3 linked regions of the Notamacropus eugenii genome follow. The protein of the gene in region 1 interacts with the protein of each later gene in a biochemical or structural test. Links are inferred from orthologs where the notes say so. Each region holds a gene or a part of one and is shown on either strand. Other genes may lie near its edges. The genes, in order: RBPJ, NOTCH1 and SPEN.

What was found.
Region 2: the proteins of RBPJ (region 1) and NOTCH1 form a complex in vitro, tested with the Homo sapiens proteins (5 studies listed by BioGRID and IntAct, with this or other methods). The link is inferred for Notamacropus eugenii from reciprocal best matches to the Homo sapiens genes RBPJ and NOTCH1.
Region 3: the proteins of RBPJ (region 1) and SPEN form a complex in vitro, tested with the Homo sapiens proteins (2 studies listed by BioGRID and IntAct). The link is inferred for Notamacropus eugenii from reciprocal best matches to the Homo sapiens genes RBPJ and SPEN.

The regions. Positions count from the first base shown.
Region 1 is NC_092877.1:79,244,301-79,251,928, forward strand, and holds the start of RBPJ (recombining binding protein suppressor of hairless), read left to right. Parts: upstream 1-4,606; 5' UTR 4,607-7,406; coding exon 7,407-7,459; intron 7,460-7,628. UniProt on the Homo sapiens protein: Transcriptional regulator that plays a central role in Notch signaling, a signaling pathway involved in cell-cell communication that regulates a broad spectrum of cell-fate determinations.
Region 2 is NC_092872.1:489,517,981-489,526,060, forward strand, and holds the start of NOTCH1 (neurogenic locus notch homolog protein 1), read left to right. Parts: upstream 1-4,991; 5' UTR 4,992-5,263; coding exon 5,264-5,321; intron 5,322-8,080. UniProt on the Homo sapiens protein: Functions as a receptor for membrane-bound ligands Jagged-1 (JAG1), Jagged-2 (JAG2) and Delta-1 (DLL1) to regulate cell-fate determination.
Region 3 is NC_092876.1:55,286,871-55,294,516, forward strand, and holds the start of SPEN (msx2-interacting protein), read left to right. Parts: upstream 1-4,572; 5' UTR 4,573-4,692; coding exon 4,693-4,775; intron 4,776-5,605; exon of another isoform or gene 5,606-5,966; intron 5,967-7,646. UniProt on the Homo sapiens protein: May serve as a nuclear matrix platform that organizes and integrates transcriptional responses. In osteoblasts, supports transcription activation: synergizes with RUNX2 to enhance FGFR2-mediated activation of the osteocalcin FGF-responsive element (OCFRE).

The sequences.
Region 1 (7,628 bases):
CCATTACAGTTACTCCTTTTGGAGGATTCTTTAGCTTTGCAGTAATTTTTTACATTGATCATTGTTTCCTTTGATTTACTCATCTCTACCTTTAGTTCATGAATTAGAGCTTTGTGTAAGGCTTCTCTTCCTGCTGTGCTTTGGTCTTGCCCTGGTTTCCTGTGCAGATTTCTGCCTCCCTAGGTTACCTTACCTCTTCGAGATTTTTGAGATTTAAAGCCCTGGCACCTTGGAAGATGATTCACTGACTCTGGGATTGGATTGTCCAGGTCTGATGGCTTGACTGTGACTGGTGTAACTGTTGCTGTCTACCCCTTCCAGAGTGTCCACATTGGGACTTTTACTGAGGAGCTCTCCATTCTTGATGCACCTGGACACAGAGCCTTGCAGGCTACACATGTCCTTAACCCTTATCTGAGCAAGCTGGAAGGGTACCTAACTAATCTGGTGCCTGCTTTGCTGGTTGTGTCCTTTCCAGTTGTCCTCCGGTTTCTGGTTGGATTCCTTTTTCAGTTCTGATGTGAAGAAGGTACTTCCTATAACTTTTCTTTGGATATCTTGATCATTATTTGCTCTGGTGAGAACTCCACGGGTTTTGTTGGAGCTAGAGCTGGAGTGGGCTGGGTGATCTTCCTCCTTCCTAGTTGTAAATTTCAGTTCAGTTGAATTTCATCTCCCATGCTCCTTTGGGAATTTTATGTGAGTGAATGTTGTGTGGCTATAGACTGAGGTGGCTTTTACTCTCTGGGCAAGTCCTTTGTCTTTCTGGTCTCTTTATTTGCAGTTGAGCTATTTAACCCTTTGTTGAGTTTTGATTAACTTTTCAACTTCTGTCTTCTAGTCTCTGCAGCCTTTTCTGTTTTTTTCTGGGGTCCCACTAATGCACCAGAAGAAAACATCCCCTGTCCTCTTGGAGTTTACCTTCTATTGGAAAACATTCACAAATAAATGTAAAATATATATAGTCATTTTGGGGTACTGGAGCCTGGAAGATCAGAAAAAGTCTCTTTTAAGAACTAGTCTCCATACTTAACTTTGAAGGGAGTTGCTGATTTCTAAGAGGCAAAATATTGAGTTCTCAGGTAGACTTTTTAGTTCCTAGGATTTGGAGCTATAAAATTACCTTAGAAAATCTTTTTATATTAGACATGCTAAATTTGTCACTGTAATTTGGACATTGGTTGAGTATTGAGACTTTTCATGTCTACTAACATCTAAATTATAGTATTTAGACATTAATTCTCTTAACTTTAAAAATAATTTAAGGAAGAGATATAAAAGTGGTCATTAATTATTTTCAGTGTGGTACAGATATTTTAATTAAGTCAACATAGAGAAAGGTTACCCAGTTACCCATTTTCTGTCTTTGGGACTTACAGTAGTGTTATATCAAGATTATATAATTAAATATAATGTGATATTTTACAGTAGATTTTATTTGAAAAGGTGTTTTTTGTTTTTACCAGACAAACCAGGGGTTCTTAACCTAGGGATCCACAAACCACCATCCTTGGATAGATTTCAAGGGGACCTTCTTTATTTTCAATAACCTCTAATTGAACAGCTAGGTGGTGCAGTGGATAAAGTACTGGACCTAGAATCAGGTAAACTCATTTTCCTAAGTTCAAACACTTAACTAGCTGTGTGACTCTGGGCCAGTCATTTAACCTTGTTTGCCTCAGTTTCCTCATCTATAAAATGAGCTGGTGAAGGAAATGAAAAACCACTCCAATATCTGTGCCAAGAAGACCCCAAATGGAGTTATGAAGAGTTGGACACAAATGAAAAATGACTGAACAACAACCGAGATTTAGCATTTTCTTCAATCATGAATTTTTTAAAAAACTACATTATTTTAAGAAAGACACTATAGTATCACTTTCTAAAGAGGTTCATGATACAGAGGCTAAAACACTTTGATTTTAAATATGTTCAGATAAGTACACTTGCACATGAACACACCTCCTACTGCCTAGTGGCTCAATTTTGTAGGTTACATTTAATAAAATTAGGAATATAATGAATGAATAGCTGTCTATAAAATCTTAAATTTCCCTGTAAGTGTACAGGAAATTTGGAATTTCTCAACCATTTTCTCTTTGCCTTTTTTCCAGACTTTAAAAGAAAAAATAAATGTAGTATATCTATTACACTCCTATACATCTGTTTGCCTATATCTATTACCTCAGCTGAGATACACATGAATGAGACTAGTTTCAGCTGATAAAGTACATTTGAGAAATATTCCTGTACTGCTTATGTAAAAGAAAAAATACTGATTTATGAAATCCTACTCATCCTGCAGGATTCAATTTCAAGTGCTACAGTCTCCTTTTTTAAGTATTTCTCCACCCACTTCCCTACCCCTTACCAAAAATCAGAAATGACGTTTTCTTCCTTGGACCTTGCATAACATTTTATGCTTAAGGTTATATTTTATTTAGCATTATAACTTTGTATATTTTATATTAATGCATACTTTGAGTGTGTGTGATTTTCTACTACTCCATGGGGAGGGGTGGGAGGAGGATTAATTATCTTTATATCTTCCCCTGTACCCTCCTGTACTTTGCAATAAGCTTTTAATAAATGTCTGCTTAATGAATACTCTAGCTCTCCTTTAAATATATAATTCTAAAAGTTTTGCTTGGCACTAGAATTGTTTTCTATGGGAAGATGTCTCCATTTTAAAAAATAAAAAAGTCAGTAGTTTCTTATAATTTGGATGTAAAAAGTAGTTTCAAGGACAGTTTGTAAAGCAGTGCCTTTTTTTTTCTGGCTAAAATTTATTTGGTAAAAGGTGATTTAAAAATCAGAATCTCAGGTTGTGGTATCTGATGATAGCAGCCTTGTGTAATATTTAAATTTGTTAGTATTTTATTTTGTGTTGTTTTCTAAGGATTTAGTTTCACTCTCGGAATAATGTTTCCTAACATCTATAAATCTTTTATCCTGTGGTTTTGCCATATTCCCTATCATTTATAAATAGACATAACTTAATACCTTATCTTTTATTATCTACCTAGTCTTTTCTGGTTATTGAAACCCTTACTTTAATGTTCAGTTTCATCAAACTTACCTTGATTAATCAGAGCTGATCCCAGAATATCATTATTTCTTTTATGATAAGTGTGTATATATATATGTATTTGAGTAGCTATTCAGTTTTGTCTCCCTATCTGTAGATCAAATTCCAAGTTCCTTTTTTTAAACATAAAAATAGATGCATAGTAGATTAAAAATAGGAATTACAAGTGAAATCTTTTCTTATTGCCCAACCCCAAAAATGAACCATGAGAAGGAGAAAATTTTTAATGAGGAAAAAAAAAATCATTCTACCAGTCCACATCTTGAAAAATCAAGAAATCAAATTTGAGGAAACCCTTATATAGATTTTGCTATCTCTGAGTTAGAATTAGTATAAAATGCTATAAGAAGACCTTACCAACTGAAATTTTTTCAATTTGTTAGAAAGTGTACAAATTTAAATCAACATGATTTCTGCTATAGGAGCAGATCTGTATTATTTCCTCTTACTAAAAAAAAAAAAATAATAATATTCCTGTGAAGAGAATGCCTTCCTGCAAAAGTTTCATCCAACTTTGGGCCAAATAATTATTCAGAGTCTGACCACTTTGACTGAGTGGTCTGTTCTGTCTTCTTTTATTGATGGAGAACTGAAGCAACAATTGAGGTTTAAGCTACTTGCCCGGGTTCTAAAGTGAGACCAAATTTTTAAAAAATTGCTAGCCCCCAGGAAGCTATGGCAAAGCTTAACTCCTTTACATAGAACAGTATTTGTTTAAAACATAGTTTTTCATATTAGCAACAGCTTATTTATTTTTCTTGATCATGGCAGTTTGTTTAACACAGTTCTCTAGTGCTTTAACATACTAACACTTAAAGTCATTTTTTTTTGTTTTTGTTTTTTTAAAGTTATTGAAATTTTGTATGAGACTGACATTGAAATGGAAGCATTATAGTTCTTCGGAGCCATTATGATCTCCAAAGGAAAGGAGAATGATACACTGGCTGAGGTGTTTTGAGGTGCATCGAAGTGTGCCGAGCCGTGGCTCACCTTAACATGTTCTTGAAGTACCATGGCGTGGATTAAAAGGTATGGCTTGGAAACATCCCAGTGACCCATTGTTCTTAGGTCATTGACAGTGTAAATCCCAGGCTTTGTTAGCAATAATGACTGAGTATTCTAAGGTGCTTTATTTTGTGGATTGTGGATATGGTTTTGAGTCTAGAGTATTAGCATTTTGTATTAAATGTATAACCTGCATGCTATGCTGTAGAAATTCAAGAACTGAATTAAAAATAGCTATAGGAATTATTCAACTGTTAAGTTTTATCTGATTTTTAAAACAGTTAATGGGCAGTAATTTTTTTTTCATCATAAATTCAGAGCAATACTTTAGGTTGTAACTAAATTTTTGATTCAGAGTACAGATTAGTTTTGTTTTTTTTTTTGCTTTGCTTCAGTGCTGTCATTTGAGTCATATATAAGTCTGACTACTCTGGAGGCCAGAACCGTGGTGTATATTTGTTTTTGTTCTACATATTAAAATTTTCACTCAGGAAAATGAGTGATTCATTATTTTTAGTGTGTGTATTGTTTATTCACAAATGTTTGTCTTATTAATCATGATTTATGTGTTTGTGATACTTAGTCTTACTGTTGTTTGTGGTTAACAATAATGTTAATTCTAGGTACATGGTACCCATAACCACTGAAAAATGTTCAGGCTTTTATGTTTCTGTAGTTTTACATGAGTGATGCAATCAAAGCCATTTTGACTCTTTGAAACCTTGGAAAACCCCTGATTTGGTAGTGCATATCTGTTGCCAAAAGCTTTCCTAAAGGTAGTAAGATATGAAACAACTCTGGTTGCTTATAAAGGTTATGCAGGGTACAAAATGTCTTATCTTTTAGTAATAAAGAACAGTGTATGTTGGAGGCAGATAGGAAAGTAATTCATTTCAGTTTGATTTAATAGAAAATCTCAGAATCTCATTAAATCACAGATTTATTGGTGAAATCACCTTATTACAAAATTATTTCGATATTTCAGTAATTAAACATGTTTTGGAGCTATTATTAAATCCAAGACATTCTCTTTTGTAGAAATAGTGTCTTAGATTCTAGAATGTTGTTTTTTAAAATTAATCCACTTGATAATTGTTGGTCATTGATGTATGCACTTGCTGTATCCTTTGCTTTTTGATGATCATGCTACCCAAATTCATGTTTTATGGCAGAAATAATTAAGGATCTTATTTTTTCTTTTTCCAAAAAAGATACCTCTTTAAAGTCTACTTCTTTTCTTCCTGCTTACTATACAGAGCTTTTCAAGGGCTTTGTAGCATTATGACATTTTGGGAAACCAACATAATATCTTCAAATAATTAAGATCTATAAACCTGTAACCGACTTTTTTTCCCTTTCCAACTCTTAAATTTCATACTTTGGCTTTTAATTTCTAGTGAATGATTTTTATTGTTGCTGTGTTATTGTTCCCTCTTGTATGCAAGTAGTGAAAATAAATTTTTATTCAGTTCTGGTGAATCCTTTTCCCATTCATTAATGGAAAGACAGAATATATTCTCCTTGGAGAATTTACTTGGGCAAAAATAAAAACACAAAAAAACTAAGTGAAATCATTTTCTGATTATGTTATGATTAAAAAAAAGAAGCAGAGCATATTTGGAAGCCCATTTCATATTTTTAAAGGATTAGATTTTTCAGGTCATTTTAGAATATTTTCCTCTAAGGTCATGTAAATATTCTGAATTTAGAAGACGGAAATTTCCCTTTATAACACTGTACCTCACTTTTTTTGGCAGGGAGTCAGGGGAGGGTTTATATCTACTTATGAGTTAAATTATTGTTTTGTAGGCTGGTGACATTTAGTGATACCTTTTAAATTATGTCAGTTTTCTTAATGTCCAATGTCCAAGATAGCTTTAAGAAGTAATTAGGACCATCTGAAAAATCCAACTTGATTTTTGCAGGTCTTCTTTTGTTAACTCAAAAAAGTTACGGTTTTGTGAGGGTTTGGTAAGGTTGAATAAGTATTTTTTTTTGCAAAGACTGAAACATTTTTGTGTTTGCCATTAATTTGTCATATTTAAAATGTGTCTTGGATTTTCATAGATCTGTAGCAAGCATTTCCATTTCCTTTTTTAATATAGAAGCTGTGAAGTCCTGCATGTCCGTATAGGATTGTAGGAACAAAGATTTGGAACTGGAAGAATCATTAGAGATAATATTATTTAGTCCAATTCCCTCATTTTATTAAATCATTAGAAGTTAAGTGACACATGCACCTTTTCACAGTAAGTGACAGAACTGGGATTTCAATGAAAATCTACTTGTAAATCCAACACATTTTCCATTGTGCTTCATTGCCAGCAGGAAGGTAGCTAGGTATGATTGTCAGAAGAAATATTTGCAGGGTTCTCTCAATCCAGGGACAAACACACTACTAAAGGTAAACCATGTTGTGTTTTGTATGATTTCATTGGTTTAAGAAACTCTCAGTGAGAAATCTCCTGCCAGCATAAAAGGTCACCTGCTTTGAAACTAAAAGTCTTATAGAGTTGTCAGGGCCACTGAGAGTTTAAGTGACTTGGCCAGGGTCACTCACTCTCCTAGTCTGTATTAGAGGTGGAACTTGAACCCAGGCCTTCCTTAATACAGCTTAAGCTCCTCTGTGGTCCTCTTGTCACTTAATTACACTTAGTAAAGTAGTTAATTTAGAGGAAAAGTGAAAAGTCAATAAATAATTCAGCCATAGATTGAGTAAGGTTTTTATATGCAATATTTTAGCAGTAAAGATAGCTGTCAAACTTTTTTTTAAAAAATCACCTTTTTCTGGTACATGCTTTCTTCATTTGCTTACATTTATTTTTCAGAGACTTCTAAAAACTATAGTTAAGAAAAAGCTACATAGAAGGAAAAAAGAAGAGGAAAACTAACGTGTATGTCTAATTTAGTCTTCAGCTTTAAGGTGGCCACTTCTTTGCAAGGGGAAAATGAAAGGTCTATCCCTTATATTTCTGAATTTTCCTATGCCTCTGGGACTGTAATAATAATTAGCATTTATATAGTGTTATATAGTGCTTCAGGGTTTGCAGAGTACTTTACAAATATCTCATTTTTATCTCCAGAAAAAAAACATTGAGGAAACTGAGGCAGGCAGCTTAAGTGACTTGGCCAGTCACACAGTGAGTGTCCAAGGCTGGAGGGACTCTTGTCTGTCACCTTGTCCTTGCCTCGTCTTATTAAACATCAGCAGTGGCTTCATTCAGCTCTTCGTGTTTGCTGTCAGTAATATACTTCTGATCCTGAGCCTTGTGGTTCTGTTTCTGTCTCTTAATACAGAAGTACAAATGAAGTAATGCCAGTGATGCAGTCAAAAACTTCTTCAGTTATGAGGAGCCAGCATCACTTGTGAGAAACTTCATATTCTTTCATATTTTTTTCTTTTGAAAGTTGATGCCTTCTGAACATATATATATATATATATTTTTTACCATAAAGAGCTGTAGCATTGGCTAAGAATTACTTCCCTTTTTATGTTGCTCTGCCATACTATTGCTTCTGATATATTCCTCCATGC
Region 2 (8,080 bases), on another chromosome or scaffold:
AAGGATAGAGTAGTGAACTGGGAGTCAGGAAGACCTTAGGTTCAAATACCTTTCAGTCACTTACCTAACTGTGTGATTCTGAGTAAGTCACTTATCTTTTCTGTGCCTGCATTTCTTCATCTGCAAAATAAAGAAGTATAAAATACAATATGACCTCCCAGGTCCTTTCCAGTTTTAATTTCTAAAAAGAAGGCATTTACTGAAATAACATAGCAAGTTCAGGAGTAACAAAACATCTCCCCCATAAGCCTGGGGGTACATTCTCCCCAAATATATACACCAGTGGGAAACAGATCTAAATCTATGATACCAATCACCATCATACAGGTAAACTGAACAGGGAGGACAGGAAACAAAACTGTGCTAACTAGGATAGGTTGAAAGGATTTGGGGGTATTTATCCTGGACGAGAAGATTTGGGGATTGGGGACGACATCATTATTTTCTTCAAGTATGCTAATGGGTATCTTCTGGAAAGGAGCTTTGTCTCTAAATCTTGGCCTCAAAGAACAGAATGAGGAATAATGGGAAGTTGCAGAGAGGCAGATTTTGACTTTGTGTGAAGAAAAACAAAACAAAATTAACCCTTCTAACAACTGGGGCTATCTAAAAGTGGAACAGACTGCCTCAGGGAGGCTGTGAGTCTGTTGGAGATCTTCAAGTAAAGGCTAGATCACTTGTTCACTTTTAAGGGATATTGTAGAGAGGATCTTCTTTAGAAATAGGTTGCATTAATGAAAACAGCCCTGGCTTTCCATCTTACAGCCATCATTTTGGCAAAGATGAACAAAAGAATGGAAAATGACAATTGTTGGAGTAGCTGCAGGAAAAAAGGCAACTCTTTTGTATGTACTGTTGGGAGAAGTGTGAGTTGGTACCATTCTAGAAAGCAATTTGGGACCATACTCCCCAAAAATTGCTAACCTTTTCATATCCTTTCACCAACTGATATTGCTATTGGGTTAAAACCCAGAGATGAAGGAAAGAGAAAAAAGGATTAATTTGTACAAAAACATTTAAAGGAGCACTTTTTCTCATATTAAAGAATTAGAAATAAGGGGAGTACTTATCCATTGGAAAATGGATGAGTAAGTAATTTGTGGTCTATGAAAGGGATGGATTCACAGACTTGTATATATGATTGTATATAGAGCGAATTAAGTAGAATCAGGGAAACAATTTATTTAATAGCTATAACACTGTACAGAAAAGCAACTTTGGAGGACTTGATTAAGTATTTTGATCAAATAGAGAACCACCATCATTCCAGAAGATTCGTGATGAATCTTAACTCCCTAATTTTGACAGAGAGGTCTAAAGGTTCAGAATGTGACATACATTTTCTGACATGGCCATTGTATAGATCTGTTCTGCTTGACTATACTTATCTGTTGCAAGGAAAAAAAATCTTTGGAGGATGGGGGAGAAATCATGAAGGGAGCAGTAATAGTGATGCCAAAATAAGAAGAAAAAAGATTGTTAATGAAACATTTCTTTATTAAATACACAGAAGAGATCAGAAGGAAATTCAGAAAGAGACACAGGTGAACAAGAATGTATTGGAATTACCATGTAGATTTATTATAGATTTATAAAGATAATAACCATGATTTCAGTAATTGAGATTCATATGCAATTCTTTTTCTATTCTTTGTATATAAAACTAATCAAGGAGATAGATGTCAAGTCAATAAAAATGATTAAAACATTTGAAACACTTTTGAAAATGTATTGAATTAGATGACCTTTGAAATCTTTTCTAACTCTGAGGTTCTGATATAGTCTGAGTAGTGAACTGGGATAGACCGTCTACTTCCAGCCAGGCCAAGTAAATTCTGGGATCCATCCTATGATCTTGTGGGACAGAGTGGGTGGAAAAACGGCCACTCAACTGTGAAGTTGCTGAACTTAACGTCTCTCTGCTTAAGTAACCTTTAATGTTAGACTTTGGTTTCCTTTGATGAAAAGATTCTTCAAACAAACAGACTCAAGTATCTAGGAACCCTCCACAAAGTGCTTGAGAACATAATTTGTTACCAACTTTGGGGAAGTGTTTGTAAATAAGGTAGAGAAAGTCTTCAGAAGCTCAATTTGTAAATGAAAAGGTTTTAGCTACTCTGGTAAGGATAGTTGTGGTCTACTGCTTTCTAAGGTAATGCATCCACATAAAGCCAGCTAGTTCATTAAAAAGAGAAGAGAATGGCTTAAAATTTTTGTATAAATCAATGAAATATCTCCCCCAGCACCTAACACAGTACAAAGTAGGTTTAACAGATGGTTGTTTAATGGAATCAAAGCAAATGCAGGCCTACAGACCTTGAGATAGAAGGGATTTTGACGCTTGGATTTATTTTTGAGTATGTTTTCACACACCTAGACACCATCTGGAACTTTGTTGGGTTTTTGACATGGGGTCTATTTAGATGGATACAATCTCACTATCCTTTTCTTCCAACTTCATGTTGGACTCACAAGGCCATAAGTTTGGAGAGAGTAGAAGGCAGGAGTTGAGGATGGGGATGGGGGAAACAGAGGGTGGTGGAAATACTATATTCTTTGACAGCATTTTCTCTCACTTCTCAAATCCTTGCAATCTGGCTTCTGATCTCATTGTTCAAATGAAACTGCTCCCTCAAAATTACCAATGATCTCTTAATTAGTCAAATCTAATGGCTTTTTCTCAGTTCTCATCCTTCTTGACCTTGCTATAGCATAGGACACTTGCTAATAACTCTCTGCTCCCATCTCCTCTCTCTTCTCTGAGTATTGTCATCCAATTCTCCACCTATTTGTCTGGCTATTCGTTTATCAAGGATGAGCACACCCCTGAAACTGCTCTCCTGGGTCACCATCCATGGCCCATACTCTAATGGGGTATGCCCCAAGAGTCTGTCCTGTGATCTCTACACTCTACTCTCTCTACCACAATCTCATCCATCCACTTATCTTTTTGGTGATAATTTCCAGATCTACAACTATAGATCTCCCTATGGTCCATCATCAACTGATTGTTGGACTTTTCCACTGAGAGGTCCCATAGGCAGCTCAACTCAACAAGTCCAAAGTAGGTAGAATTCATTATCTTTTCCCCCAAACTCATACATCTTCCCAATTTTCCTCTTTCCTTTGAGGATACCATCACCCTCTCAGTAACTCAAGTTTGAAATTGAAATCTTAGAGTCATTCCTGACTTTTCATTCTTCCTGATTACCCATATCTAATTAGTTATCAAGTTTTGTTGATCTTCAGCCATAAAATTTCTGGCCTCTTCTCTACGCTCTGGATGCTACTATGATGCTACTACTACATGCTACTACTCTAGCCTAGGACCTCATCCCTCTAGAATGGGATAATGCAGAGGTGTCCCAGTTGGTCTCCCTGCCTCTAGACCCTCTCCTCTCCAAAACATCCTCCACCAAGCTGTGACAACAACCTGAGGCCTAAAGATCTGCCTCAGTCATTTATCTGTTCAAAGAGCTCCAAAGGCTCTTTATTGCTTTTAAGATAAAAATACCATCTCCTTTGGCATTCAGAGATTTTCACACTGACTCCAAAAAACCTTTCCAGACTCCTTGCACATTATTCCACTTCATACACACTACATTCCTGTTAAATGGCCTATTTGCTTCTCTTGGTACATAACATTCCATCTCCTGCCTGTGTAGAGACCCCCCAGCTTGGTATCCCTTAGCAGCTTCAAAATCTAGGACAAGTCCCTCTTTTATATACAGCCCTTCCTGATCTTTCCCAACACCTAGTGTCTCTTCTCTCCCCCATCCTATCTACTTTTTATTTACAGGGTATGGATTTCGTGCTTACTTGTATGTGTAGATAGTTCCCCAACAGAATTAATAAGCTTCTTGAGGGCAAAAACTGTTTGTTTTTTGTCTTTGTATCTCTAGTGATATAGTTCCTGGTATATAGTAAGTGGTTAAATAAATACTTGCTGATTGGTTGGATTTGGAGTCTTGGGACCTGGATTCAAATCCTGCCTCTAATACACACTATCAGTGTGAATTTGGACAAAGCCTCTTAACCCTCTCTATGTCTTTCAACGAGAGGTTGGAATAGATGACCTCCGTGGCACCCGAAAACCTACCCCTCTAAGAGAGTCAAGTGCACGAAGACGTCATGGTCAAATGTGTTCAAGTCCCCAGTCACCTTCCTATGGACCCGTCTGGTCTCCTAGAAGTGCCCAGAGTTACAGGGAATGAGGGGGTGGAGGGAAAGAGATCAGGATGAATGCACAAACCTGTCTGTGCTCCACGATTAATTCCTAAGTTAGGAAAGGGGGATTTAGGTCACCCCCAAGTCTTACCCAAATCCAACATCCACTCCAGGAAAGCTCTCGAGGGTGGGGCCCGAGAATACTCCTCCAAACCCAAGTCCCCCTAGCCCAGCTCACTGCCTTTTAAGGCATTCAGATCAGTCTTTGGGACAATCCCTGGCTCTTCGTCCTGAACGTTCCTTCCACTTTCCCTGTCTTCTCTACCTCTGCATGAAGTCCCCACAGAGCATCCCGTAGAGGGAGGCCGGAGACAAGGTTAGGAAGGGAAGGTGGCTGGGACTAAGCACACCCTACGCTCCACTCTGCTGGTCCCCGGCCCCGAAACCAGTGGCTCCTCCATTGACATGCAAATACGTAAAAGACTAGGCGAAGAACAGAAACTTCATGCAAGAACCAAGAATCCCTCCGCAAGCTCACAACAAACTTTCAGTAGTTTCTGAAACTTTCAAACGAGAAGTAGTCCCCTGGCACGGGAGGCCCTCCCAGCCCCAGAAAAGTATTCGGGGTTCTTCAAGAGAGCTTTGGACACCCCAGAAAGCATCTTCGGCCCGCGGTCTCTCCGGGGAGCTCTGGAGCTGAGAGAAGCGAAGCTCCATAGGGAGGGGGTGGAGGGGGAGCGGAAGGATTCGGAGAAGAGGGAGGTTCACGGCTGGGGTGGGGGGGAGGAGCAGGAGGAGTGGGAGAGGCGCGGAGCTCGCAGCTTCACTTAGTGTCTTGGCAGCTGTAGGTTACGTAGGGTTGAGCCGGAGCGGCGCGGAGAAGTCTGCGAGGAAGCGAGGGAACGAGGGAACTCGGGCAGTGCGTGCGCGCCCGTCCGCCTGCCGAGAAAGGGAAGACGAGGGCGAGATTGGCTCCCTAGCTGAGAGACGCTGCTTAGGATTTCCCTGCCCGTTCGGAGACCTTATGTCACTCTGAGCCTTTCTGGGATTGCCCGAGCGAAGCGCCGCTGGGGGAGAGCTGGCCGCTGCTGGAGGCATGCGGCCGCTCCTAGTGCCCGTCGTCTGTCTGTCGCTGCTGCCGGTCCTCGCACGAGGTAGGACTTGGGGCTGCTCCAGTGGAGATCGGAACCCCCAGATCTGGGGGTGGGAGAACAATCTGGCGGGGCGGGCAAGCCCGCAAACTTTGTGCACCGTTGGAGAAAACTTTTTTCCTCCTGGAAAAGAGACGCGGCTAATCCAGCCAGTATTGGGGAGAGAGTGAACAGGCATGGATTGTACAAGGGGAGGGGAAAGCAACCTGGCTTGGTCACTACGGGCATCGTGTGATGGTGCAGGCAGCAGCGAAACGGGTGGGTGGGTGAGTGGGAATGTCAGTACCTCCCTGGCCGGGATGGGACCCCCTGGAGTCACCTTTTCCCAGCTTTGCGCCCCTGGCTATGTGCAAGATGTCATCCATCCCCAGTTTCCCCACTTTCCGGGAGACTCTTGGCTGCAGGGAAGACTACTCCCTCCCCCAATTTGGGGGCTCTGTTTAGGGAGGGGATTGAGGTGGCACCGGGAGGGGAAGGTGCGGAGTGTGGCTTGTGTGTCCAAACTGATGGAAATATAGGGAGGGTTCCAGATGCCTTGGAGGCTGAGGCTAAGTTCTTGAACGACCCTTACTCTCCGCCTGCTTTCTCTCCCGCCCCCTTCCAAATCTGCATCCCCCTACCCGCAGTCAAACCTGCATTTCTCCATGCACTGCCAAACCTACATTCCCCCCCTACCCCGCGCTCCCGCCCCGGGCCAAACCTGCATCCCCCCATCCCCCCCCCCGCTTTGGGTTTTTTCTCCGCTGGCTGAGTTCTTTCTATTCGAACTTGAGTCAGGTTTCCTGTTCTCTCTGGTCTTTTCTTCTCCGTCTGCCCACTCCACTTTCGGGTCGAGGGCTGGGGGCGGATGTCAGCGGCGCGGGGTTTTCGGGCTCAGAACAGTGTTGAGTTTTTGCGAGGAAACCGACGGAAGCCCGCTCCCCGGTGCCGTAGCGGGGGGGGGGGGGGGAATATGTGGCCCCACTCCCTGGGGCTGCAAGGGCTCTGCATTCCGGCCGTTGTGCTGACCTTGGCCACTCTGGTGGGAGAGCCGTCCCGCAGGCTACGGGAAAGTTGCTTGAAGCTTAAGGGATGAGTAACTTTTTGGTCCAAAAACCTAAAACTTCTAAGCATCTGTAACCCTTCCTGGAAAAAAAGGCGGGGGAGGGAAGAAAAAAAAGTTTCACAGAACATTCTCTGGCTCCTGTGATCTCACCCTCTACTTTGGAGTTTTCTTTTCTCCTGACCTTAAGGAATGACAACTCTCTCGGGACTGGGAGAACGTTCACTTGCAGGGGGCCCCCCATACGGCTCCCTCCTCCCCCTCAGCCCACGGAGCAGCGATGAGTCAGGCAGCCCTCTGCCGGGTGTCCTCCACTCACTGCCTCCCTCCTCTCTGCTTCCCACGCTTCGTGGGCGCCCCTCCCCGAGCGGTGCAAAGAAGAACAACACTGCCTAACCCTCCTCGCCCCTCTTTGAAAAAAGTGTTAAAAGAAAAAAAAAGGCCGCAGACTTTGGGCACAGCTCTCCCCGCCGCCCCCAGCCCACCCCAAACTCTTAATTTCAGTTGACTCTCCAAGAAAGGAGGTCGCTAGAGGGGACGGGCCCACTAGATTCTCATGTTTGATATATATAGCCCGAACCCCTCATTGGGGCTTTAAGTTGGGGAAGCACTTCTCTCTCTGCCCAGGAATGGAACCGGGATGGTGGAGGGGGGTGTCCGCGGAATTCTGTGAATTGGCCCAGCATTTGAGGGGTGGGGGGTGAGGTGGAGGCGGGCCCATTGGTGCACCTCAGATCTTCCCGGGAGCAGGTATTGAGTGTCCCGGGAGGTAATATTCAATCCTAGCCCTACAGTCAATAATGCAACAAGAGGTGTCTTTAAACGAGTTACAATGGGCGGCTCTGATTCCCGCTTTGTTGGAGTTCAGGGGAAGCTGGGCCCCGCAGCTGTCGCATTTTCCCACGAACCAGGAGGGGAGTGTGTGCGGCTTGCTTTGGGGCCATTCAGACTCCCCCTCCAGGACTGGCTAGATAAGTCACTTTACCATGAATGTTTGAACAGGCAGACAATTCACTGCATTTCTGAGCGCTCACTGTAGTCTGAGCTCCCCCCCCCCCACTCCCTCCTCCCTCTTCTCTCTCCTCCCTTTTCCTCTCTTTCCCTTCCCTCCTCCCCTTTGAAAGAGATGTGGATCTCCCCTCAAGTATAGGCTTCTGGTTGGGTGGGCGAGAAGGGAGATCGAGGGAAGTTTGGGAAAGTCATGCTGGTGGAATTTTTGAGTAGTTGAATTGGTCAGATTGGCTTCTGGGTAACTTTTCCCATCCTTTGCCAAGTTATTGTGCAATTTAGAGCTAGTAGGCTGGGATAGACCTTGGATAGCTGGCTTTATAGAAACAGCCCAACTTTCAGTCTATCATTCTTCCTTCCTACCTCCTTGTTGACTTCATTAAGAAAATCAAAAGAATTCATTAGAAGGGTTATCTGCCCTTAAGAAATCTGGTACCTGTGTATGTTTCTATACATACATACCTGTATTTATATGTGGAAGTGGATGTACACACATATGATAGATGTAGAATATTTACTGAATGTACATTTTTCTTCTACAACTGACTCAACAGTTCAGCAATAATGAATATTTACTAAGTGCTTATGATGGTATAAATAGATTATAGTACTATGCTAGATGGAATGGGATGGGGAAGATAACAAAATTAAGAAGTTAAATAAGAATAAAGAAGGGGGTTGGACAAGATACTCTCTAAGGTTTCTTCCAGCT
Region 3 (7,646 bases), on another chromosome or scaffold:
ATTGCATTTGTTCTTAATGAGATTAAAGGTGTTATAGTTCTCTAGTATTTTCCAAAGTTTAATGAAAAATTGTATTTGTTACCCAGAAAATATAGATTATTTTCACACACAACCCCCTCCCCCACTATTCTTCCTGCAGCATTATCTTTTTTTAAATAAGTTTTTTTGAAGTCTTTTGCTTCTTACATCATCTTATTTATCCCCAGTTTCCCTCCCTCCCAGAGAACCATCCCCTCCGACAAATAGTATTTTTAAAGAGGAAAAAAATAACTACAACTGATTGATACATGGGAAAAGTCTGAAAAATGTGCAGTGTGGACTTCTCACCTCCATGAAGGGGTGTTTTGGAGGTGTCTTTTCATATCTCTTCATTTGAGTCTTGCTTTATAATATTGTTGTCCTCACTTTCGATTTTTCAATATGTGATAGTTCTTTCCATTTACATTGTTGCCGTCATGGTGTAGTTTGTTTTCTTGGCTCTACTTACTTCAGTCTGCATCAGTTTATATAGGTCTTTCCAGGCTTCTCTGTAATTCCTCACACACGTCACACACATCATCACACATCTTACAATGCAGTAATATTACTGTGAAGAATATTACTTACAGGGTAGTAATATTCCATTACATTAATATACCATAATTTATTTAGCCATTCTCTAGTAGATGGGCATCTCCTTTTTTTCTAATTCTTTGTATTAACTTTTTTTAAGAAACATATTCAGTGTTCTCCTGAACTGTAAGTTTCTTTAGCTCAATACTAGCATAATATATGGTGGAGTTTTTTCCAGTAAATTTCCTTAATTTAGACTAAGCGGCTTAATATTCTGTCAAGGGGCACCTTTTTGTTCTCAGAAACAGTACACTATTTGTTTTACTCAGGCGAGTAACATGAAAATACATCTGTTTAGACTCATATCCTTTTTGATAACATAAGCTGAGAATTATTTCAAAAATCTCAAACTGAGAAACATGTAGATTTGTTTTTTAAAAAATTAACATTTTGTTTATATAGCTATTTTGAGAGTTTACTGAAAAGGGGATTTTGTGATGAGTAAACCAGTTTGCCTGAGTAACTAAGGGTTCAAAAGTAGTTTTGTTTACTTTAAATGTAAACCATTAAATTTCTTTTGATTGATTTTAGAGCTAAGCTGGTTTGTTGCCCTCATTTGATACTTGGCTGTCAATTGTCCTGAGATCCCCCAAGACTTTTATTCCTCTGTATACCTTATATGCATTTTCAAAGTGGCAGTTTAGGCCATTTTACCACCTAAACAAAAGAGTAGTCAAAAGTACAATTAAGAATATTTGTAATTTCAAATGGAGTTTTAACAAGGGGTGTATGTGTGTGTGTGTGTGTGTGTGTGTGTGTGTGTGTGTGTGCATCCGCGTGCACATGCTTTTTCATAGGGAAATAGGTTTCTGCCAGAAGACCTTTAGCCTACTCCCTGAGTACTGGTTTTTCTTTATTATGAATATGATCCCTTTTAATTTCACTGTGTTCCCATTATTCTTGTATTCTCAGGAAAATAAATAGCTCCAATTAGTTTTTCTCTGGTAGGCATTCTTTTTATATCTCTATTCTAGATCATAGATGGACACAAAATATATCATTATTGTCAACACTATTGTATTATTGTGCTCTCTTCTAATTATAGCAAGGAGGTGAAAACTAGGTTTTTCCATCTTTTTCAGATCCTGGGTTTTCCTAGCATTCAAAGATATATTATTTGTTTGCATAACTGCATGATGGTATTTTCTGAACCTTGTCAACTTCCATGTCACTTGCTTAAAAAAAACCCTGTGTCTTGTGCAAAGTCTTGCTCTCCATGGTAATGTTTTGGTCTTTCTAAGAGGTTACAGCTAATTTATAACCCATTAGGTTTTATATGAGTAATTTGCATCATTTCTTATGTGCCTTACCCTGTGGTTGCTTGTACTGAAACTTATGCTTCATTGGAAGAGTGCAGGACAGTTCAATCTCTCCAGCTGTCATCTCATATATTGTAGACCAGTGGTGTCAAAGTCAAAGAGAAACAGGAGCCACAAAACTGTACGTAAGGCTCTCTGAGGAAGTTGCGTATTGACTTAGTTTTAAAATGTGATATTACCTATGTTTTATTCTACTTTATTTCGTTACATATTTCCCAATTACAATTTAATCGGGGTTGGACCCCATGAGTCCTGTGAGCTTCATGCTTGACACCTCTGTTACTGTCCATTAAAGTTTCTGTAATAGTTTGCTACCTTTCAGACTACTTATTGAAATGTTCTGGTACAGAAATGACTTGTATTTATGCTGAATCCTAAATCTCAAAGCAGGCTGTTTTCTCTTTTCTCCCCTATTACTCTTCATAGTTCTTTCACTGGCAAAAAACTTGCATTTCATTCAGTGGGACTTTTGTTTGCTTGAGGACAATGAGAGTGGCCCCTAAGGGTGCACTGTTTTATGTTTCTTTCCATTATATTATGAATGAATGCCACTGCTGTGGTTCTTTGTGGCTGTTTTCAACCCTAGACCTTTTTCTGTCCCTTCCTCTTACTGAAGTCCCTAAAATAAGCAGGGAAAAAATGGCTGTTAAAATAGAAAATGGAAACCACACACTTGGAAAACTCAGCATAGAAAATAAGCCTGTTAAATCAGTAGACCTACAATTTGGAGAATTTATACGTAACTTGTCAAAGTCCCAAACCCAATTTGATGAAAACAAGTCCACCAAGTTGGCAAGGTTGCCCTTGACCTAGCTTATCATGTACTGTAATTGTTGCCGTGTTGTATTTGTTTCCTGGAGCTTGCAACCGTGTAACTGCGGGGCTTTGCTAAGCCCCGGAATGTCCTCAGAGATAGTGGAGAGAGACTAGGTCAGTGGATCTAACTTGGAGACCGCTTGCTAAACACAGTACAGAGCGAATAAAGAAACGGATGAAACTGGAGTATAGTGTGATGCTTTTATCGCTGTGCAGCCATTAAGAAATTATTTGGTGATTAAAACAGACTAAAGCACAGAATGCATTTGAAACTTGAGACACTTCTGAAAAAAGTTAGTCTGAGGCTCGTTTGACTGTAGAATACAAGAGCTAAGTCTTACTAGGGAAAAATTTTCCTTATCGATGCTGATTTTCTCTGCTAATATGAAAAATAAAGCTCATTTCAGTCTGTGAGAAATGTATATTCCTTAAAACAATACAACCAAGTGTTTGTTTTCCAGGGAACTACCTGGCGTTTCCAGTTAACAGCGAGGTGTTAGCTCTAAAAGGCGTTCCGTCCCTGCGGGCCCCTCAGATCTTTCGGAGCTAGCTTCCCCTCCAGGCCCTTCCATTCCCCGCTCATCGGTGGCAGTGCCTGCGGCTGGCCCAGTGCTGTGCCAAGGGCTCCCTTAGGACTTTGCCTCTTAGCTGAGGAGTCGCGTTCCTTGGAAGAGGGGAGCAGCCCGAGGACTACCCACCTTTCCTCTAAGTACGGCTTCCAAAGTCTTGCTCTTGGAGAGGTCTGACCGTCTCCCTCCTGCCCTCGCCCCGAGGTCTGTTCTTGGCAAACCCTCGGCACGCTTCACCTACTGAACAGCCTTTTACCCGAGGAGCTGCCCTGGCTTCTAAGATAGCAGCCACTGCGGTGGTTTGGAGGTGCTCGTGGGGGCCAGGGCAGGGGACTGCAGGGGGATGGGCAGCGCCCCCAGCCGCAGTAATCCTAGCTGGCGTTTACAAGCCCCCTCGGGCTTGGCCGGCGCTTTCGGCCGGTGCTCTCCTGCGAGCTCGTGGCTCTCGTCCCCCATTTCACAGATGAGGAAGCTGGGCCTGGGGGTGGGGGCAGGGGCTTCCTTCCCCTCCCAGAAGGGCGCTCCCCCTACAGACTCCTTTCCTCGCCCCGCAGCTGGCCAGGGGCAGCGCATGCTTTCGGGGAGCCGCCAGCAGCGGCTCCGCCACCTCCAGGGCTCCCTCCCTCGGGGCCTAGCTCCGGGGGGCAGGGGAACCTTTTCGGCTCTCTGGTCGCGCGGCTGCGCACAGAGGGAGCGGCCCGCTTTGGTCTCTCCGTCTCCTCCCTCCCGCCTCCTCGCGCCTGCGCACCGGCCGAAAAGGCGAGCGGGGCCGAGGCTTCACTGAGCGCGTACCCGCAGCCCGGAGCAGAGGAGCGTGCGGGCGGGCTGGCGCGCGCGTGCGCCGGTGGGAAGCGTCCGGACTCAGGCAGGCGGCGAGCTCCGCCGTCGACGCCGTCGGCGTGGGGCTTCGCCCCTCCTCCCGCTCCCCCTCCCCTTCCCCCTCCCCCTCCCCTGCTCTCCCTCCCGCCCCCCGGAGCCGCCAGTGCGCATGCGCCGCCGCAGCGCGAGGGTCGGGTGCGAGTGTGTGGAGGAGCCAGAGCGGAGCGGGGAGTCCGGAGAGTCAGAACCTGGGGGAGAGGAATGGTGTCTGCACGGGGGGGAGCCGGAGGAGCCGCCGCCGCCGCCGCCGCTGCCGACGCCGCCGCCGCCGCCGCAGCTGCCGCCGCCGCCGCAGCTCCCGCTCCGGCTCCGGCTCCCGCTCCGGCTCCCGCTCCCGCCTCCCGGGGCTGAGGGTCCCGCACGGAGCCGGGGGGGCAGGACGAGGAGGAGGCGGAGGAGGAGGAGGAGGAGGCGGCGGAGGAGGAGGAGGAGGTGGCGGAGGAGGGGGAGGCGGAGGAGCCGCCGCCGCCGGAGCCGCCCCCGGGCCGCTGCCCAGCATGGTCCGGGAAACCAGGCACCTCTGGGTGGGCAACTTACCGGAGAACGTGCGGGAGGAGAAGATCATCGAGCATTTCAAACGGTGAGTGAGCGAGCGAGCCCGTCCGCCTGCGCCGGGCCCGCCCGCCCGGGGCCTCCCCCAACTCGGAGCCGGCGCCGGCCGGGGCCCGGCCTGGCCCGGCTCCGGGAGCCCAGCGGGCGAACGGCACCCCGCCCCCGCGTCCCCGGCCCCTCGAGCGGAGGCCCGCCGAGCCCGTTGCTGCCGGCGGTCCCCGCACTGGCCCGGGGCCGGCCCCGACCCGACCCCCGAGATCTGCTTGGGCAAGGGAAGAGCGGGGAAGCCGACCCGGCCGGCCCGGGCACTCACCTGCCGGCCGGGGGAAGCAGAGCCTTGGCCCTCGGACCGATGGGGCTCACCTAGTCGGGGGGTGCCCGGCCCCTTGGGGATGGGAACTGCTCCTCCCTCCACCCCCCTCCCCACCCCCCCTCCCCAACAACCCTCATGGACTCCAGGATGGGAAACTCTGGAGTCGCATAGCAACTCCTGCTGCCGCCGCCGCTCCTGCCCCGGGCTCGCCCGCGCCCTCGCTGGGCACGATCTTTGCCTTTCCTAAAGGGCTTTTGTGCGAAAGGAAAACAATACAGAGGGGCATTGTAGGGTGTGCAGAAGCGTGGGCACGGACGGCGCTGCGGGACCGTGGGCAGCCTCGTACGTGGAGGACATTAAGTGGAAATGGAAAACTTGGATTTTCATCGATGCCCGGAGATAACCTTTGGAGCTGCCTTCTCCGCTCGTTCGAATGAGGAAGGAGACTGGTGGGAACTAAGCGGTGGCGGTGTAAAAATGGTTTTATTTTTTTGAAGAAGTCAGCCTCCACTGCGGCCTGCTGGTCTACAGGAAAGCTGCGGGGTCTCTAACACCGCAGCCGCGCTGGCCCCATCCGTGGCGTGCCTGCCCCTAAAAACGTGGTGTTTGTGGTCCCGCAGAGATGCCGCACGCCTCCGAGAGCCTTGTGGTCCCTGCGCGGCGCCCGCTTGTGTTGGGTGGCACCCCACGTCCGTGCTCTTTGTGAGAGGCCCCCCGGATTTGCATTGCCAAGCCTCTTTAGCCAGGACGACGGACGGGGCTTGTTCACATTGTCTGGAAGGAGTCTTGCTGGCGCACGTTTCCAGGACTAGCCCTCGCCCTCCCCCCGGAGTGTAGCTGCCTCCTGATGCCTTCTGCCACTGCTTAGGGTAGCGAGGGTAGGAACATTGTGGAGCGTCCTCCCGAGTGAGTCACCATGGGAAAAGCAGAGTCGGTTGCTCGCACATGAGCAGCTCGGATCAGGAAATGGAAGCGGCCCGGGCCCAGCGGCTGCCTCGTAAATGGAGGCTCATTGATTACTGCTGGCTGCGGGCCGCCTCCGAGCTGGGCGAGCTGGCCCGGGAGCGCGCCGGGCGCGCCCCCGCGTGTGAAAAGGGCCTGTGCGGGGCCCTGGGGGAGGCGGGGCGGGGGCTCCTCATGACTTTCACCTTACTCTTGACTGGGGGGGAGGGCGGCCGCGGCCTGGGAGGGGGCGAGGCTCGGGCGGGGGGGGCGGCCGAGGAACGCACTCCCTCCCCCCTCGCCCCGGCAGTTGGGCCCCGCTGTGGCTCCGGGGGTCGGGGTCGGCCCGGCTCCCCTCGTGGTCCTCGCCCCGACGTCCGGGGCCGGGAAATGCCCGTGGCCGGCACGTGCCCGGCCGCCTCGGCGTGGCCGGCGTGTGTGGCCTGGCGGGCCGGCCCCGGTAGGGCTCGGCGGGCGGCGTCCGGGCCGGGAAGCGGAGCCGGAGCGGGCGAGCGGGCGGCTCTGAATGGCTCTAAAATGGCGGCTGGACCCAGTTTACGTGGGAAACGGCGGAGCCGCCGCGCCGCGGGGGGGAGGGAGGGGGAGGGGTGGGAAGCGGGGCCGCCTGCCCTCCCCTCCCCCTGCGGGACTGCGGACCCCCTGGCGGCCCCGAGCCCCCTCCTCTGCCCCCCCCCCCCCCCCCCAGCCCGGACACGCGGGACGATGCGGGGAAAATCGAATAGCATTTTTGCCTTCCCCCCCCCCCCCCCCCCCCGATGCCCTAGTGGCTCGTGGGCACTCGAGAAGCCACGCGTGGGGCCAGCCCCGAGCGGCGGGGCCGGGGATGGCTGCCTTTGTTTCCCTTCGCGGCTCTCCGTCCGCTCGGGGCGAGGCTTCCTTGTTGTGGCTTTGGCCGCAGCTCCTCCAGCCAGAACCAAAGCCTCGGAGAGGGGCCCGCGAAGCCTGCGGCCCGGGGGCGGCCCGGGGTCCGAGCATGCAGAGGGAGGATGGGAGGGAGCTCCGCGGCCCGGCTTCCTGGGAGGTGCTGTTTGCACAATAGAGCTCGTCCCTGCCTTTGTGGGGGAAGGGGCCTCGCAGCCTGGGGCGGCGGGGTCCTGCGCAGCCAGGGTCGCCCCCCGAATTGGGGCGCCGACGGAAGCTTGCTGTCTTTCCTAGAGAGCCCTCCGTACCTTAAAATGGCTTTTCCATTTTCCTGATCTCCTCTAGCAAACCCAGTAAGATTCCCACCCATCCCCCCGTCCGAAGAGACCGTAGAGAATATGCAAAGAGGTTGAGCGAGCAGAATTCCTGAATTCCTCTTACTCAGGCTGGAATGTTTTTCAAAAGCTGTCCCTCCAGCCCAAGCATAAAGGATAGCAAGCCATGGGGGGGACGGACCCTGAAACGTCACAATGATGCTGCCCCCGTAGTTAAAAGGCAGTCGAGTCGGTTAAAAGTTGTTTATTAAAGCTTTCTCCCCTCCCCCTCCATGATAGTATAGTAGTAGGTTCCTTATCTATATTTTATATCGATTAATAATTTCTACTTGTGTTTTTAATTTATGACTGAAAAATCTTTTTTTCTGAAGTCAAATATACAGAACCACCACCTGAGAACCGATTTTACCTTGCCATATTTTAAAAT